Linked DNA regions of Arabidopsis thaliana. The protein of the gene in region 1 interacts with the protein of each later gene in a biochemical or structural test. Each region holds a gene or a part of one and is shown on either strand. Other genes may lie near its edges.

Evidence for each region.
Region 2: the proteins of AT5G57710 (region 1) and RGL1 form a complex in vitro, tested with the Arabidopsis thaliana proteins (one study listed by BioGRID).
Region 3: the proteins of AT5G57710 (region 1) and RGL3 form a complex in vitro, tested with the Arabidopsis thaliana proteins (one study listed by BioGRID).

What each region holds. Positions count from the first base shown.
Region 1 is NC_003076.8:23,382,116-23,389,681, reverse strand, and holds AT5G57710 (Double Clp-N motif-containing P-loop nucleoside triphosphate hydrolases superfamily protein), read right to left. Parts: upstream 5,428-7,566; 5' UTR 4,889-5,427; coding exon 3,708-4,888; intron 3,617-3,707; coding exon 3,406-3,616; intron 3,306-3,405; coding exon 3,006-3,305; intron 2,911-3,005; coding exon 1,630-2,910; 3' UTR 1,217-1,629; downstream 1-1,216. UniProt on the Arabidopsis thaliana protein: Probable component of a transcriptional corepressor complex that acts downstream of MAX2 to negatively regulate karrikins/strigolactone responses. Probable target of MAX2 during germination and seedling photomorphogenesis.
Region 2 is NC_003070.9:24,746,105-24,751,417, reverse strand, and holds RGL1 (RGA-like 1), read right to left. Parts: upstream 3,314-5,313; 5' UTR 3,092-3,313; coding exon 1,556-3,091; 3' UTR 1,232-1,555; downstream 1-1,231. UniProt on the Arabidopsis thaliana protein: Probable transcriptional regulator that acts as a repressor of the gibberellin (GA) signaling pathway. No effect of the BOI proteins on its stability.
Region 3 is NC_003076.8:5,762,696-5,768,429, forward strand, and holds RGL3 (RGA-like protein 3), read right to left. Parts: upstream 3,552-5,734; 5' UTR 3,193-3,551; coding exon 1,621-3,192; 3' UTR 1,294-1,620; downstream 1-1,293. Other genes in the region: PC1 (pollen calcium-binding protein 1), read left to right, coding at 1-245; AT5G17500 (Glycosyl hydrolase superfamily protein), read left to right, coding at 4,684-5,088, 5,370-5,617. UniProt on the Arabidopsis thaliana protein: Probable transcriptional regulator that acts as a repressor of the gibberellin (GA) signaling pathway. No effect of the BOI proteins on its stability.

The DNA.
Region 1 (7,566 bases):
TTGCTCACTTTTAAAAATGGACAGTCGAAAAGATTTAGTTACAAGCAAATTTTGTTAAAACTGATCCCAAACTAAAGTAAATTACATAACAAATTTGCTACTTAAACGATTTGTTTTCGAAATAGACCAAGTTACTAGTTTACTCTTTTAGACTTTTACATCATTTACGTACATTACATACATACTCTTTTGGTCTCTTTATTGGGCTATCTTCAGGCCCATTCTTATATATAATTTAATGGTTAGCTTCTTTTTTTCTCAATCATGCACAGGATTAAACCCATGAGGTACAGGTCAACAATTGTGTCTAGTGATGACTGAATTTAAAATTTTGTATGTTAATATACACTCTCTTTTTCTAACATCAGCATTATATTATCTTCTCAATTATATAATTTTATATTATTATTTTTTCACATGGATCATTCACTATTGTGGTTTTAAAGATTAGATATTTCATGAAAGCTTTGAACTAGAAGACAGCTTAGTCTTCTCTACAAGAAGTTGAGTTGTCCAAATCAAACGCGTCAATAAATTTATAGCAAACCCTCCAATTTTCTTACAAGTTGCCATCTTTTTCACATTTATTGGGCATACATTATTTAATTATTTCACAATTCTCATGCATTCGATAAATCTAAATCTACCCTAATTGATCAAAAAGGTTATGTTTAGTGTTATCCAACCACTATATTAAAGTACTAATTATTTTGACATCACAATACAACAGCTTTTCCCCCTTTATCTCGACGCAAACAAACAATTAGCCATTTATACAACTTTATACGTTAGATTTCATACATTTTAGTTAAAAAGTATTGGATCTAGGAGACTTTTGCGTCATACCTTTTTGTAGTTGTAACAGGTAAGGCTTCTAAAGGATAAAGTAATAATTTAATACTACTAGTTATTAATTAATTATTAACAAAAAGAAAAAAAGAGTACGAGGAAAAGGTCAAATTGCAATAATAATTGAAGAATTTATATAATTAAATGACGAAACACATGCAATGTTCATCATTCAGTGAACCAAACTTTGTTTTAATTTAATATTTTTTGTTATCTTCTTTAGCTTTCAACTTTTAAAGTGTGTTATCTTTCTTTTTTTGGAAACTTTTTGTTTGCCTTTTTTCTTTCCATTTTTGTCTTTTTCTCTTACATTTTTTTCGTTCTCTATAGACAAATGCAAAAGAACCTAAGTAGTTACAGATTTTCTTTCTGCCATTAAAAACTGCTTTTACACTTCTTCTTAAATCAAATGGTCCCCAAATATACACGACGACTAAAGAAAATGCAATTGTTTGAACTTCTTTAGATTAATCTTGTAACTGAGAAAACAAAAACATACTTTTAACTTTATTAATCTTTCATTATTTATCTATCAAATAAATATATCTATAATCGCTACATAAATCACCCCTCCCGTTACCATACATAAAACACAACAAAAATCTAGACTGTGGAGTAAAACAAAAAGAAGTAAAGAACTATAAACACCTTTTTTTTTACTATTTTTACCCCTAACTGTTTCCCTTTCCCCCCGCCAAAACCAGTTGAGACATATTTACATCTCTACCCTTTTCCACAGTCCACTGTAACAACAAAACTCCAATCTCTGTTTTACAACTCTCATACTGCCAAAGTAATAGTTGTCGGCAGTAAATCACCGGCGTTTCGTTCACCGGAATCTTCATCTAGCTCGAGCCGAGCAACCGTACAGTCACCGTAAGTACCAGAAGACGAAACTCGAGCCTTAAGTTGGCTCAACACCGGAACAATCGCTTTCTCAATCCATTCCTCTAACTCTGTTTGGCCTAACCACACTCCACTCAAGATTCTCTGAAGTGCCTCTTCCTCGACTTCTACTGATAGTGATTCGCCTATGATCGTTTCGAATCTCTCAGATAATGTTTCTGTGATTCTCCGTCTCACAGCTGCGAAATCAACTGCTCGAAACGCTACCGCATCATCTACACGGCTAACCATATCGTGGAATGCAAATGGAACGCATTGTAGTGACAGCTTTCCACTAAAACCTTGCTCGTCTTGATCATTATCTGTTGTTAGATCGCTCGTATTATGAGAACCATCATCCGTATCAGCGGCTTGGTTCAGATCGAAAGATAAACCCGATCCATGTTCTTTCTTCGGTTTCGTCAGCCTCTCCTCGTCGCTACACAGCCAACTTGCTCGTCGTTTCCCAAATTTCTCCCGCATGCACAACCTCAAACGCCAGCTTTCGCTAGCCAAATCTCGTAGTTTTGCTTCATTGTCTAGGAACGATGTTTTCGTCCCTGCGAAATGCCAGCTCGCTGTCATAACAAAGATCACGTTACCTAAACTGATCTCACGGCCATGCGAGTCACGGATTCTGCCTCTATCCATTGCCTGTTTTATGCTTCCACGCACCAACATATCAGCTTCGTCAATATCTTCAAGCAAGATAACAGAGAACGGACTCCTCTTAACAGTTTCCGCAATCTTATCCAACGCGGTTTTACCACGGAAACTAGAATTTCCATCTCCAGCATCTTGTCTCGACCCGAGCTGAATCATTATTGGATTCGTCCCATACACAAGAGAAGACAGAGCTGACACCATTTTTCTCTTCCCCACTCTATCCGGTCCTGAAAAAAGTAACCAGACATCTCCCTTTGATAAAACACCGCGTCGTTTCCCATTCCCGAGCTTGCACTGACTAACAGTTGCAGCCACCGCAGCGGCTGCATCATTCTGCCACCAAACTTTCTCGGTCATTCCCTTCAACAGCTTCTTAAACAAATCAATGTCTAACGAATTCCCAAGATTCTCCTTTTGCAAAACACTGATGTTATTATTGTTCTGCACTGATTCAGACGATATGCAGCCGAGAAAGTCTCTTACTTGCACATCTCCTGCTTTCTCCGAATCCTGAAATACGCAAACGCAAGTATTTAGCGTCAGGTTTGTGATTTCGATTAGATAAACATTTTCATCACAGTATACAAACATTCAAATCAACAAACCTCTGCTCGTCCAAGAACAAGATCGGTCTGAACCGGGCTCCCGGGAGGACTCTTCTTCTTGGCCTGCTCAGCCACCAAAGGACTCATAGGCTTCAAGTGTACCCTCTCACGCAACTCTCTATTAGGCTGTAACTTAGGCTGCAACGGCTGACGAAGAAGCATGTTAGGACTGTAAGGGCTCGTTGTCAACGTTATAGGAACCGGGATCGGAACAATCCTCTCGTTCTTGTTATGAAAGCTAGGATGAAGACGCACGCATGCATCATTCCATTTCTTCTGCACTTCTTCAATCTTTGCTTGCTGTAATAAAAACATTACAAAACTGATAAATTTATGATCTGCAATCATATCATAAAGCCATTGCAATTGTTGAAGAGAAGATTCAATAACCGGAACTTACCGGTAAACGATCAACCGGTTTAGCTTTCAACAGCCACTGTGGCAACTGTTTAGGCTGAGCTACTTCAGATTTAACCTCTGGAGAAGACACTGAATCAATCTCAGCAAGTTCTCGCTCGTAACTCTGTAAACACTGTGGACAACATTTCAATGTCCTATTCGCAGGCACAAAGCTCTTCAATGGCGTGAATGATTCCAAATTGTTCGCAAGCCTGAATCAAAACATGAATCTAGGCTAAGAAAAAAAATCATAAAAGCTGAGATTTTTCTTTAGCAAAAAGAAGAAACTTTAACACAACCCACCTCGGGAAAACGCCAGACGCTGGAGCTTTAGCTGCCACCGACACAGCTTGAAGATCCCAATCAGTCTCCACTGATGGATGATAAACTTGACATCTTAAATAAGTCTCACACGTCGCCGTCCCTATAAACCAGAGTCTTCCTTCAAACTTCTCCAAAAGCCTCCGTAACTCCACCACCGCCGTCCTCCCAATCTCCACCGCAACCGTAGCCGGCGGTTGCGTTGAACTCGGTTGCTCCACTAGCCATTTCAAGTCACCAAGATCAAGTATCACTCCGCCGCCACCAATAGGATCCGAATTCTTTAATCGGGTCTGAAGCAACCCATCTAATTCCTTAATTCTTAAAGCCTTATCGGAACTAATCTCCTCTAAAGAAACCACCTTTGAGTTCTTCACCGCTAAATTCCCAACTTCACCGACTTCAATTTTCTTAAGGATCTCACGAATAACCCGACCCGGCTCCGAATCACCAACCAAAACCGGGTTTTTCTTCTTCGCCCGACCCAATATATCCATAACCCGCTCCACATCATCGTTCTTACTCACCCCTGATTGTACCGACGAAGCGTTCTGTTGTAACCGTGGATTAAGATACGAATTCCGGGTCATCGGACCTCCACCACCGGGTCTAAAATTCAACCCGACTGAAGAAACACTAGGAATCGGCGTCGGAGTAACCGAATTATTCAACGACTGTTCAATTGTAGCTTTAACGGCGGGACTTGAAAAGCTAGCTTCTCTCATAACCCGACTAACACTCGGATCATCCAAAATCGAGATAATGAGCTGTTCAAGCTCAACTTTAACGGCCAACAACGGTTGCTGTTGTTGCTCCGGACAACCACGGCGTTGATGAGCTTGAGCTCGTTTAAGCGCCGCCATAAGCGCGTTTGAGATCGGTGGATCATTCCCCGGAGTGGTTGTAGCTGTTGGGAGACGCTCTAAGGCGACGCTGAAGCAGAGCTCGAGGGCTCGACACTGTAAAGGATGAGAAGAATTGGGGTGAGATCGGATACAAGCTCGTCGGAGAAACCCAGCAGGAGAAGCTAGAAGAGTGGCTGCAACGTGGAGAGGAGTGGTTTGGCCGTGATTACGACGCGCGGCTTCGGCGATTGATTGGTTTAAAACGGTGGCAGCCTCCGGCGTCAGAGTCTGTTGAATCGTACTTAAACCAGCTCTCATCGTTCTTCGTTTACTTCCACTTTTGTGTTATCTCTCTGTCTCTCTTTCTTCAATTATATGTGGGTATTAAATAATTGTATAAAAATCGAATCTTTTATTAGGCTAAGACTTTGAAGGAAAATGGAAAAACGAAAAATTGAATCTTTTGAGTTGGGTTCTTAAATTATTCAGACAAGTTTTATGAACTGAGTTCTGATCGGGAAAAAAAAGGATAAGAATATATAAGATTTTTGGTTGAACTCATTCAAACAATATCCCACCGGCCAAAAAAATGAAAAGGCTTTAGATAGGTTTTATAAGAGAAGAAGGTAGAAGAAGAGAAGAAGGTAGACTTGTTTTCTGAAGTAAAGGAAGAAAAAAAGAGATATAAAAAGAGTTATTATTGGGAGAAGTAGACAAATTGGGATTTCAAATGGATCACAAAAACTGGCTTTTGAATAAAGAATAATAAAAACAAAAAAGGAAGGAACTTTCGGATCCAACAAATTGAAGATAGAAAATAGTAAATATAGAAAGGTGGGGAAGAGAAGTTGCAGAGTGAAGAAGAAAATTCAAAGAGAAAAGGTGAAGAAGAAGTGAATAATAAGTACTACTTTACTTTTGCCCTTTTCAATTATAAAAGCTGTACGCGTATCTCTGCCTCTCTATAAAAATTGGTATGTTTCATACATACGGCAAAAAAATATTGTGGGAGTATAATAAAAGTAATAATAATAATTGTGGATGTGGTAATTATGAACCAAAAAAAATTGTGGATGTGAGTTAAATTGATTTTTTTCTGTTGGTTCGTTGCATTTATCACCTAAGTTTTTTTAAGTTTGAGCCATCAGAAGAACAGGTTTGGTCTGGAGTACAAGCTAGCTAAATAATTAGACCATTAATTCTTTAGGGAAATTTTCTTTTTAATATGACAATCACATCTTTAAAGGCACCAAAAATTATACTTTTTGCTTATATATTGTTGTTTAGAAAATAATTAATATTCTTTTACATAAATTTTAAAGCAAATAATTTGGTTTTTTTCTTTATTCGAACCATTATTCTAATTGAGAGTGGTATGCAACATATACTATGAGATGCATTTATAAGACAAACTTAACATTTTATTTAAATTTTCCATTAGATTAGTTTAGATTCTCGACTTCCTTTCACAACCATTTTTTCATCTAAATCCACCATTCATGTATATAAGGTGATTTTTTTTTTTTTCTATTTTGTTTTTTTTGTTGCCTTTGTTGATATAGATAACTTGTAAACGAGTGATAACAAAAAATGTCATTAACACAAATATGTGATACGAAAAAAATTTGAAGTCGCATCTCGAAGCATGGCTTTAAGTCTTTAACCAACATTTCTTGTTAAATGTCAACTTTTCAGAATTCAACATTTTCTCCGTGATATATATTAGAAACAAAATTCAAAAGTGAATAACAGGAACATGTATTTTTAGGTACCTCGTTCATGAGATGTTCATGGCAAAATTCAGTTCACGTGATATATAGTTACACACTTTAAGAACAAGTAGTAGGTGGAAGTAGATGAATATTATATCAACGTTTTAAATGGAAGCTGATATGATTTAATAGGGTTAGAAAAATTATGATGGTCTATATATGTTTTGAAAATCTTTCGATTATATGAAAACATTAAAGATTTAATTAATAGGACAAAAACAATTCAAAACTTGGACTATAAACTAAAAGCGTAGATAATAGAAGTTTTGGATCTCCAGCAGGAACTAGTACGTAATACTATATTTTGTCCGACAAAAAAAAAAGTAATACGATTTTGTAAGGAGATAAAACAAAACAAAACTAAACTAAACTAATATACAAAGTTATGCTTGCTAGTTGCTAAAATAGAAAAACTCAAGTCATTCAAAGTCAATACGCGTTTTAAAGTAAACGTGATAATATCTGCGTTTACTTTGAGTCATTTAAAATTTTAACTTAGTACTATTAAAAGATAAAAATCTTGCTTTATACTGGCTATCAATCACACTTTAAAATTTTCAACTAAACGTTGACTACCTTTACTTTGTTTGAAAGTATGTAAAAAAAGGAAAACTGAAACTGAATTAATTACGGAAGAAAAAAAAAAAAAAAAACTGAATTAATTACGTATAACAGGCACAGCACTTTCAACCTTAGAATTTACTCTTGCAATATGTATATAAAAAATAACTTTATGGCAAAGAAAAAAAGAGATATAGGCTCAATGCATTTGTATCATTTTAGTTAGGATGCGAGATAGTAACTATGAACTTGCAATCGATGATTTCTCGTGTGCTTAACTAAAGCAAAAGCTGTCGTGACTCTCATTATTTATGTTCTTACATTTTTTTTGTTAAAATGTCAAAAGAATTCTTACATGATTTTAGCACGAGAAAAGGCTTAAAGGTTAAAACTACTATTAGTCTATTACATATACTCTATTTCCATGTTTTATTATTTGCTTTGTTATTAACTTTTCTATTCATCTTTTTCTTAAAACTTCGAAAATAGATATACATAATCAAGCGGACCAATGATTTTACTTCTTTGGTTTTCCACGAAATCTATAGTTTGATATTATAATCTCTCTAATTAGGAGTAAATCGTGTGTACTTTCGAAACGTGGCCTAAAGATTTTATCAGATATGTGATCATAAGATCATAATAAGCGGGTTTTAGTTTTTA
Region 2 (5,313 bases), on another chromosome or scaffold:
TTAGATCGAAGGAATCTGCTTTAAAATCCGAGTAAATTTTTGGGCTTTTTCTTCACATGCAAAAATTTTATATCAATAGAAAATTTGGTGTGTAGGACAATTAATGATGAAGTGACATCTTAACCTCTGAAGTGGTTTCGGTATTAATTTTAAGGACCTCAAAAATCAGTCAAAACCAAAGAGAAAAAGTCTCGTGTTTCTTTCCTAAATGACTGGTGTCGTGTTTAAGAACATTTGTAATTACATTCCATTTCTAGATATTGCTTTCCTTAAATGGTCCGAAATATGAGCCTAAAAAATTTAAACTTGCCAAGGTCAATACCATAGAAAGCGTTATACATTGACTTCATGCATGTACTTTTGCAGCTTTTAATCGCGGCTTCGACGCGTCATTAGTTCATTAAAAGATTTTTAAAATGACTAATTAAATTATCGTAAAAAGGTAATATCATAGAATTACACACACGAGAAACTTATATTAGGAGTTGGGTTAGGCCTCAAACTTCCCTTATTGGGCTTGGGTTTGGACTTCACAATTTAATCAAACCTAGAATGCACCATTATTGAAAAGAAAATACTTTCAACGAGTAAAACAAAATTTTAAAATGGTTGTAGTGTCGAAGAATGATGATGCCCATCAAATTAAAATCTCGTTTCCAAGAACATATTCTGAGGAAGGTTTTATTACCAAAACAATTCTGGTTATACTTGGAAAATTGTTACAAAATTGTGTAAGTAAGTTATAAGAAACAACATATAAAAGTTTTAGAAAGGTAAAAGTATTTGAAAATTTGTTAAAATTTATGAGGATTTATAATAGTTTCCCAAATTTATATATTCATATAAAGTTTCTAAAGACAAATTTATGTTTTGCGTCATTACGAATTCCTGATGAACAAACCTCTCTACCGACAGAAACTTATGAACTTATGTACAGTATAATTATGTCAGCTCATGCATATTTCTTCTAAAAGTAATAAAATTGGTAGTTGTTAAATTGATTACCAACAAAATGTTACCTACGAAAATCATTTTCTTAAAATGATGTCAACATGCGATAACAGGAATGCTCATATATTATTTGGCGGTGGGTACTAATTAAATCAACGTCAAAAGAGCACAAATACATTTTAAACACACCACTGTCCTCCTTAATTAAAGAGATAATGACCCTTTAACCAATCTATTTAAAGTCCATGGTCTTAGGATTATTCTCAAAAGAACTTGACTACTGGTTCGTGTCATGAAACATTTATCCATATCTATCAGACTATCACCTTATATATATCATTATTTCATCTCTTATTCAATTTTAATTTTATCGAAAACCAAAGATGAAATAGAAAAGACCTTTTTTACCTTAATGAGAACAAGTGATAAAAAATCATTTCATTGGCCTGACCCTGACGTAATAGTCTATTTATGCGAGGTCAAAATCTCGTGACAAGTGAACAAAATTTAGAATTCATAAAATTTGGAAAACGTGGGACTTTTTTTCTTTATCAGCAATGCAATAAAGTATATAGCACATTTTCACTTTTCCCATTATTTATTTTTATTCCACACGATTGATTCGCCACGCAGATGTTGCAATAAGCGGTCGCGTTTGCCATCCAAGCAACAAACAACCTTCATTCTCTTCCACATTATACCCATCAGCCCCGGCATAAAGTGCCAACAACATGCTTGCTTGCTTATACGCGTTCGAACCGATACTAACCGGTTTAAATCCTCCTAAACCGAACCGGTTTCTCCACTGATTTAAAGTCTCATGCCTCTCTACCCGGTCTTCTCCTTCGCATGCCACAAGGTTTAGTATCTGCCGTCCTAGGAATAACTCCGACATCACTCGGTCTTGGCTTGGCGGGCCCTCGAGCGAGTCGAATAAGCTCGAATAGTAATGTAGCGATTCCGTGAACCGATCGAGAAATACGGTACCGTTATGGTTTGCTTCTTGCTCGACCACAGTCATTATATCCGGTCGGATTGATTTGATTGTCGATAAAAACTTATCGATGGAACCGGGATGAGCTAAGAGGCGATGAAGCTCGAAGACCGAGTTAACCGCCACTGATTCTAAACCGGGTCTAATGTCTAGCATTTCCGGTTTAAGATCAGACAAATTGTTTAAAGCAATGCTCTTGAATTCGAAATTGACACCAATAGTACTCGCAAGCTGACCAAGTTTCCAACCAACTTCTTGAATATCGGTTAACGAATAACCGATCCCGGTTAACCGAAAATCCGGTGGACCATTAGGACGTAAAGCAAGAGCTTGAATCAAAGCCGGCCATTGTAAACCATGGTTAAGTCCTAAATCAATAACATGAACCTTCTCCGCCGTAGCAAAAACCTCAAGTATCGCTTGATTCGCCGTAAAATGCGCAAACTTGAGATACGGACAAGACTCATAGAAATGAATCTGAAGAGTGTCCGAAAACGAAGACAACGCGACATCGTCTCGAGGGTAAATACGGTAAATCCTTCTCGCAAGCCCTTCAGCGAAGTAAGTCGCGACTTTCCTCATAGCACCAGCTTGAGAGGACGCGAGTAACCCCACGTGCTTCACGAGCGCGTCGGCTAACTTCAAATTGTTCTGTTGAACAGCTTCAGCACAAGCTAATAGCGCGTGGACTAAACGCACTCCAGTTTCTTGAGAATCCAAAACCACCACAGAGCGCGTAGAGGATAACTCCGATTCAATTCTCGTCCTCTTGCTCCGACGAGTCACGTGCTCGTCACGTGGATACACTGCAGAGCCAGGAATAGCTCTAAGATCGTACTCTGAGTCAGGCTTTTCTTGAATCCGGGTCGGGTCAAGATCCGAGAGCATGCTTTCGACCCAACCAGAGAGATCAGAAGGATTGTAATGAACAGTTTCATCAGAAAGATTCGAGATTCCATCACCAAGAACCATCTCTAACTGTTCAAGCTTGTGTGCCACGTCAGCCATGTCGGATGATCGAACTTTGTAACCTAAAACAACCAAAAGCTCGTCAACTCCGGCAGCTTCTTCTTTAATCACCGTCGTCATTGATGAACTCCCACCTTCTCCGGCGGATGATTCACGGTGGTTGTGCTCTCTCTTCATTAAAATTGATTTGCAAGATTTTGTAAGATGAGAAGAAAGAGAAGAATAAGAGAAAAGATTAGGAACACGGGAGTGTCATAATAATTGAAGAAGAAGAAAGAAAAATAAAATTCTATTTTTAAATAATGATATGATTTTTTTTTATAATGTATGATTATTATTATATAGAAAAATAAAATAACATTTGGGGTTTCGAGCTAGCTTTTAATTGGAGTATATGAAATTTAGTACCGGCAAGTTCTTAAAAGCAAGAGCAGAGCCGTGGTACAACCGCAATCTAAAGCAATTATAAAAGGAAATTTATTTACCTATTTTATTTTCCTCTTTATATAATATACAGTAAATAATAGTAGATTCCTTTCTCTTCTTTTTCTGCGAATAAATTTTAATTTTCAAAATATGCTTCTCGAGAAAATTCAGTTTGATTGATGTAAACCTGACATCATTATTTGAACGAGATATTCTATAATCTATGCTATGTCATAATTATTTTGATTAAAAACTATAACAACTTGTTTTTGATATTTGATTATTTTGTGATTTTGATTATTTGATGAAGACTAGGTGTAATATTAAATAACGGTTATGATTTGGAAGTTGTATTGTAGAGAAACATTTAGGTTAAAAGTCCAATTTCTAAAGCCAACCACCACCCTTTTTTCAACTACAAAAACATACATTTCATTTTTATAGTTTTTGGTGATTAGGAGATTTACTTTTTATGTGTTGTGTTGTGATTATTGTTCAAACTTTTATATCATCTTCATAAATGAGAATAAATAAAGAAATTCATTATGTTCATAAGAAAATATATTAAACTATAAATTTCAGGGAAATCTTGTTTAGTTTTCTGTTTTTATATTATCGGGTGATTAATCTTTAGGTGATGTAATGAATTCTATTTTTACCAATTCCTCCATTTCATATAGAATAATGTTTGAAAGTTGTTTTTTTTTTTGCATAATGATGGCATTGTACGTTTCACATTTCGAATGTAGATTTTCAAACCGTATTACTAATACAAAAATTGAATTTATATCATCGCCATTCAATTGTAGTATTATGATTGTGGTCATATTTGTATATGTTTTATTATTTTTAATTGACTAAAAACGTAATTTAGTGATTTGTGCTAGTGTGCAAGAGCTGATGTGACACCGTCGAAGTTCAAACTCATATGCATGTTGTTGTTGATACAAAAAAAAATTGGTAATCGGAAAATACATGAAATCTAGCTATTCTTGTAAGCGTCGTTGTGAAATTATCACTCGAATTCGAATCACCTTTGTAACAATAAATATTTCTTACTTTTTTTGTAGGATTGGCGCTCTTCCTCAAAGAAATGACTATCAAGTAGTGTAAGCATAAGAGATTGACAAAACAAAGCAAAAGATGTTTTATGTAAAATATTTGCATATATTTTTAGTTGCGAAAAAAAATTACAACTAACGTGCAAAAATGTCTTTTGCAAAAATAATTAAGTTGACTTAAGAACTGTCGTCAAAATAACCCAACAAGAATATATAATAATATCATTCTATATTCTTATTAGCGATATTAGTATTATATATTTTTGTGTTGTAATACGCATTTTTATTATATACTTGTGTTTTAGACATGTTCAAAAGGCGATAGATGGAGAATAAATAAAATACTGTGTGGTTACGACCATTATTAGATGTGGAGCTCTTTCGGTATGAGCTTTAAGAAAGATACATGCAATCATAAAACATTTTTAAGCTTCCCCATATGCATAACCATTTTTCATAGTTCTACAATGACCCTTTTCACATAATGCATATCCTCATTTCGAACCAAGATTGTTACTTTGATTGATTAGGTTATACTGTTAGATGTTGATGTCTAGGTCCAAATATTTTTGATAGTTTCTTTAATTTCTTTGCTATTAATAGTAGACTAGACTTGATCATTATGATAGTTAGGAGACTTTTCCTCAAAACATGTATGTAAAAATGTCTAAACAATGATAATTAAAATTAAGGTTCTATTTTAGTTTAGTAGGTTTTGTTTACTAATACTTGTTGGAAAGTATGATGATTTACAAGGATGATTAGTGCCTTGAAAGAGAAATAGTCATAATTAAGTGACTATATTCTATGACATTGTTTAATTCAACAGTTTTCATCAGTATTATTCGTTCTTTTTAATTTCGAATCGTTTGGTACCTTCGGTTATTGGTTGGTAAGAACTTAGTAGTCTAC
Region 3 (5,734 bases), about 18 Mb from region 1:
ATGCAACGGAGAAAGCCGAGCACGACCGTATTTTCAAGAAATTTGATGCTAATGGTGACGGAAAAATTTCAGCAGCCGAACTCGAAGAAGCTCTTAAGACACTTGGTTCGGTAACAGCTGATGACGTCAAACGTATGATGGCTGAAATTGATACTGATGGTGATGGAAACATATCGTATCAAGAATTCACTGATTTTGCAGGTGCCAATCGTGGACTTATGAAGGATGTTGCCAAAATTTTCTAATTTTTTTTGCCATACTTTTACTTTTGAAATGTTTGAATTTTTTTATATATATTGAGAGATTTGGTTCTAAGCATCGTCAATTCTTATTTTTGTTGTTTTTACACTTGGTGAGTTTTAATTTATATGATTGTATCCTAATTCCATGTAATGTGATGTGAGTGGATCATTCTTGAAAAGGGGGCTAGTTTGTTTTGTTTTGGTTTGTTGAACACCACAACAACGAATGTTTTGTTTTAAAAAGATATAAAAATGGCTTTAACAGTGAAGAGAACCAAAACATTCATAATTTGTTTTGTTCCTTAAAGTTCATTATTTGGTTTAGGCTTCTCGCATATACATTTTAAATCATTGATATAAAATAAAGTAACTACATTTTTAGAATTACTTAAAAAGTAAATATATTGCGGATGCATTCTCTTTAACGTAAACCTCTCCGCCTATCCTCTCGGTCTCACCTCAAACTTTCTCCTAAGTCCATGTTAGGACTTAGCCGGAGAAACCAATAACTATGCCTACACAGCCGTCTCATCCATCGATTACGACATGCTGTGGCTGTGGGACTCATGTTCCTCTTTGTTAGGAAGTCTTATATAGTTATATTTATATAAAATCAAAAGCTGATATTGTTCGGATTGTTTAGTCTTGACTACTCAGATATTGAAGTGTTGTTACGGGTAAAATCAAGAAATGGTAAGTCTGAAGATGTTCCAAGACTTGAGGATATTTAAACATTGCCATGTTTAAAGTGAGTTTAGAGAATGAGAATGTGGTCCAACTTTATCATATCTTTCTATGAATACATGTATTTTTCAAAAGTGGTGATAAAATTAGTAGTAAATATCAAGTTTTCTTTTACACATTCCTAAGCAAAACGGTTTCACCCACTTGATCAAAAGCTGACAATGAAAACCTCTCAAAAAACCCAAAAGTAGAGTTTGGACTCCGGCTTTTCAGAATAAAAAGACTCAAGTGAGGTTTAGCTTCTTTACTTCTATCATCATCATCATCTCCCAGAAACGTTAGCCTCTATGTAATAATCGAGTCGGTCCAAATTCATTCATGCGTCATTTTGTATATATTTTGGGTGAAATTAAACGTAACGTCAATTCGTTGACAAAAAATAAAATAAACGTCATTTCTTTCATATTTATTCAAACTATGAAAACACTTGCTCGTGCTGTTGTTACATACACACATGTTCCTCGTTCTCGAATCTCCACGACCAACGAACCAACTGGGTCCCAAAAGTATAAGGCACGGAATATTTCGGGCGAAATTGTCACAAAACGAAACTACTGGGGTAAGTTAAAGTAAAATAAAAACATAAGGTCACGTTCGCTAAGTCTTTTTTCTTCTCCTCTTTATGACGACGTATCTACCGCCGCAACTCCGCCGCTAGTTTCCACGCCGATGCAGCGATTAGAGGTTTCGTTTGCCACGCAAGCATTAGGCTTCCGTCGTTCTCCTCCACTCTGTATCCATCTCCACCGCCAGATAACGCCAATAGCAAACTCGCTTGCTTAAACGCGTCTGATCCGAGGTTAACCGGGTCAAACCCGGCGGATCCCATACGTTTTCGCCACTGAGCCAGCGTCTCGTGTCGCTCGATCCTATCGCTTCCTTCCGTCGCCACCAAGTTCAATATCTGTCTCCCTAAGTAAACCTCCGACATGACTCGGTCTTGACTCGGTATCACAACACCATCTTCGAGCGAGTCGAACAAGCTCGAGTAATAGTGAAGCGCTTCGTTAAACCGGTCTAAGAAAACGTCACCGTTATGGTTCGCTTCTTGTTCCACCACTGTTACGAGACCCGGTTTAACCGCCTTAACCGTCGCTAACAGCTTTTCGATCGAACCGGGTTGGGATAAAACCGGGTGAAGCTCGAAAACCGAATTAACCACTAGAGTCTCCGATTCGGTTCGGGTCTCGAACATATCCGGTTCTAAATCGGATAACCTCTCCGTCGTTAGACCATTGAATTTGAATTCGACGCCGATGGCTTGAGCCAGCTGAGCTAGCTTCCAACCTAACTCTTGAATCCCTTCTCGATTCGACGGATTCCCAACGCCGGTGAGACGAAACGACGGTGGACCACCGGGTCGGAGAGCTAAGGCTTGCATTAACGCCGGCCATTGCATACCTTGATTAAGCCCTAGATCGATTACGTGTACGACACGCGACGTCGTAACAGCTTCTAGAATCGCCTGATTGGCCGTGAAATGAGCGAATTTCAGGTAGGGACACGAGTCGTAGAAGTTCATCTGAAGAATCTCTTCGAAGGAAGGATCAATGGCGGCGGCGGAAGGATGAATCCGGTAAATTCGACGAGCTAGGGCTTCGGCGAAGTAGGTAGCGACTTTCCCCATGGCTCCGGCTTGAGAAGCCGCGAGTAATCCCACGCGCTTGACGAGAGCATCCGCGAGGCTCAGATTCTCCAGCTGAACCGCCTCGGCGCAGGCCACTAGCGCCTGAACGAGTCTAACTCCTGTCTCCTCGATAAGCACCACGGAACGAGTTGACTCGCTGGTCACTGAGTCACACCAAGGACCGAGTCGAATCCTCTTGTTGCTGTTACTATTGCTACTGCAACACTCATCGTCGTCTGTGATTGGTCTCAGATCGCAAATCCGGTTCGGGTCAAGATCCGGGTAGTAATTAAGATCCGAGAGCATGCTCTGAGCCCAACCGGAGAGATCAGAAGGATTGTAATGAACGGTGTCATTGAAGGCATTACTAGAAGAGGCAATATCATTGGACAAGACCATTTCAAGCTGTTCAAGCTTCTGTGCAACATCTGCCATGTCTGAAGATCGAACCTTGTAACCCAAAACAGCAAGAAACTCGTCCATGTTATCGTCTCCACCACCACCACAACCATTTTCTAACTTCTCCACCATTGAAGGAGCTTCTTCTTCTACAGACGTTTCTTGATGGCTTCGTTTCATCGTCAAGAAATGGAATTTTTTGGTGTTGGAATTGGTTAGACAGAAATTGTGGAAAGAAAGGAGAAGAATTTAAACAGGAGAAGGTAAGAGAGGAGAGTTAGAGAGGTCCAATGAGGGAAGTGAGGGACCTGGAGAGTGTAAGTAAAAGAGATAAGAAGGAAGAGAGGCAGGCCATTATAATTTCGCATGTGTTTTCTTCTCTATTCTTTCTTTTCCAAATTATTTCATTTTTATTACTATAACTTTATTGAATTTCTGATCCAAGTTACAAAAAATTCGTCGCTCTGATAAGGGCGTGTAGTTTTTGTTTAATGGTCCAATGGACTGTCATAGTCTATTAAACTATTTTTTAATACCCACTAAATGTTGAATTTAGAGTTTCTAGAATTATTAAATTGGGTGCTGCAGTAGATATTAGTCATATCATATGACCTATATTGATAACCCAAATAGTTCTTCTCGAGAAATGGAACTTGTAAACTCCGAAAGTAACAGCCCGTTTTCTTCAAGTATCTTGTTTCTATAACAAAATTTTAACTAGTTAACGTGACATACTGTAATAATTTTACTGACAAAATTTGATATTTATTTTTTTAAATGATACTATCTCCTAATAATTTGTTTGCCGAAATGGTATAAAATAATACTAATTTTTAAAAAAGTTTGAGAAGAAAATAGAGGTCCCGATAGAAGTACAGCTCAAAGTATTGCAGTTAGGGAGACAACGTGACCAACCTCACGGTCGACATGTGGCGGCAGTCGACATTAGGTATCAGACGTCTACAACATTACGTTGCTTTCTTATTATTATTATGTTTTCATTTCTTTATGTGTGTAAATTGAATTTTATTCCCCATACCAAAAACATCATTTTAAACATGATAGTTACATATATAGAAGATTTTTATAATAGAGTAGAACTGAACATAAAAATAGATTTCACTCTTGAATTAGTTTGTTGGTCTAAGTACAAATGGCTTATTATTTTCCGTTTTGTGAAAATAATGTATAATCCTGTATAAAATAAAGTTTCGAGTAATTTTATATGACTTAGCGAATGAATACACAAGCTAAATATATTAGTATATTACCCTTCGTTCGTTGATATATTGGCAATTTTGAGGGAAACAAATAAATGACGAGACTATTTAATGGCCGGATACGTTTTGAAATGTTACCCAAGTTACTTTCTCGACATTTTAGGCGGATGATCCATTGACTAATTATCCTCTTAATTATTCGAACAATAAAAAAAACTACACTATCCAAAACGTGTGGTAAGAAGATATTTATCCACAATGTTCCGTAAATATCTCATTTATTTACATTTTGAAACCTATCATCAAACTAAGTAACCAACCCTGAAATATTTAGTCAATTATCTTACAAAAGAAACTCAACAAATCCCCTATCATTGTGACAAAAACCCTTGATTTCACTCTCTATATATACTTAATGATCTTCCTAAAACACAGTCACAACGAAATAAGCATGGCAAAAGCAATCGCTTTAACTGTCTTTTTGTTCTTATTCTTGTCATTAATATCTCTAACCCTAGCAACAGATTATCCACTATTCACAAAGTCTCGATGGATCGTAAACAACAAGGGCCACCGCGTGAAGCTAGCTTGCGCGAACTGGCCTTCGCACCTCAAGCCAGTGGTAGCAGAGGGGCTGAGCAGCCAGCCAATGGATTCAATATCGAAAAAGATAAAAGACATGGGATTCAATTGTGTTAGGCTCACTTGGCCACTTGAATTAATGATTAATGACACTTTAGCCTTTAATGTTACCGTGAAACAATCATTTGAGAGATATGGATTGGATCATGAGCTTCAAGGGATTTACACTCACAATCCATACATTGTCAATACTCCTCTCATCAATGTCTTTCAGGTATAAATACATAATTAATCATGTGATTCTAGTATTACATAATTTCTTCAACTCAAACAAAAACTATTCTTTTCATGTTCAATTAAAAATCCATGGTTTTTAAATAAGTCATTTGTGACTGAAAAATATGACTAAAACATGTTTTATCTTATATTGCAATAATGATTATTTTTCCATTTCTTTTCAGATCTGATCATCGTTGTAATGAAAAAAATATATTTCACATGCTTCTTGTTTTTACTATATGATATCTTCTAACGCAAGGCAACATGTTTGTGTAGGCTGTGGTGTATAGTCTTGGGAGGCATGATGTGATGGTGATACTTGACAACCACAAGACCGTACCGGGGTGGTGTTGTAGCAACGATGACCCGGACGCGTTCTTTGGCGACCCAAAATTCAACCCGGATCTATGGATGTTGGGTCTTAAGAAGATGGCCACAATATTTATGAACGTGAAAAACGTTGTTGGTATGAGCCTGAGGAATGAACTTAGAGGCTACAATCATACATCAAAAGATTGGTACAAGTACGTATTTATAAATTCCATTTTCATTTATTTATCATAACGCCCATGTGAAGCTTGAAGGCCAAGGAAATTAATACACGTTAATTATCTGTCTATTTTAGATCTTAACAGATTATA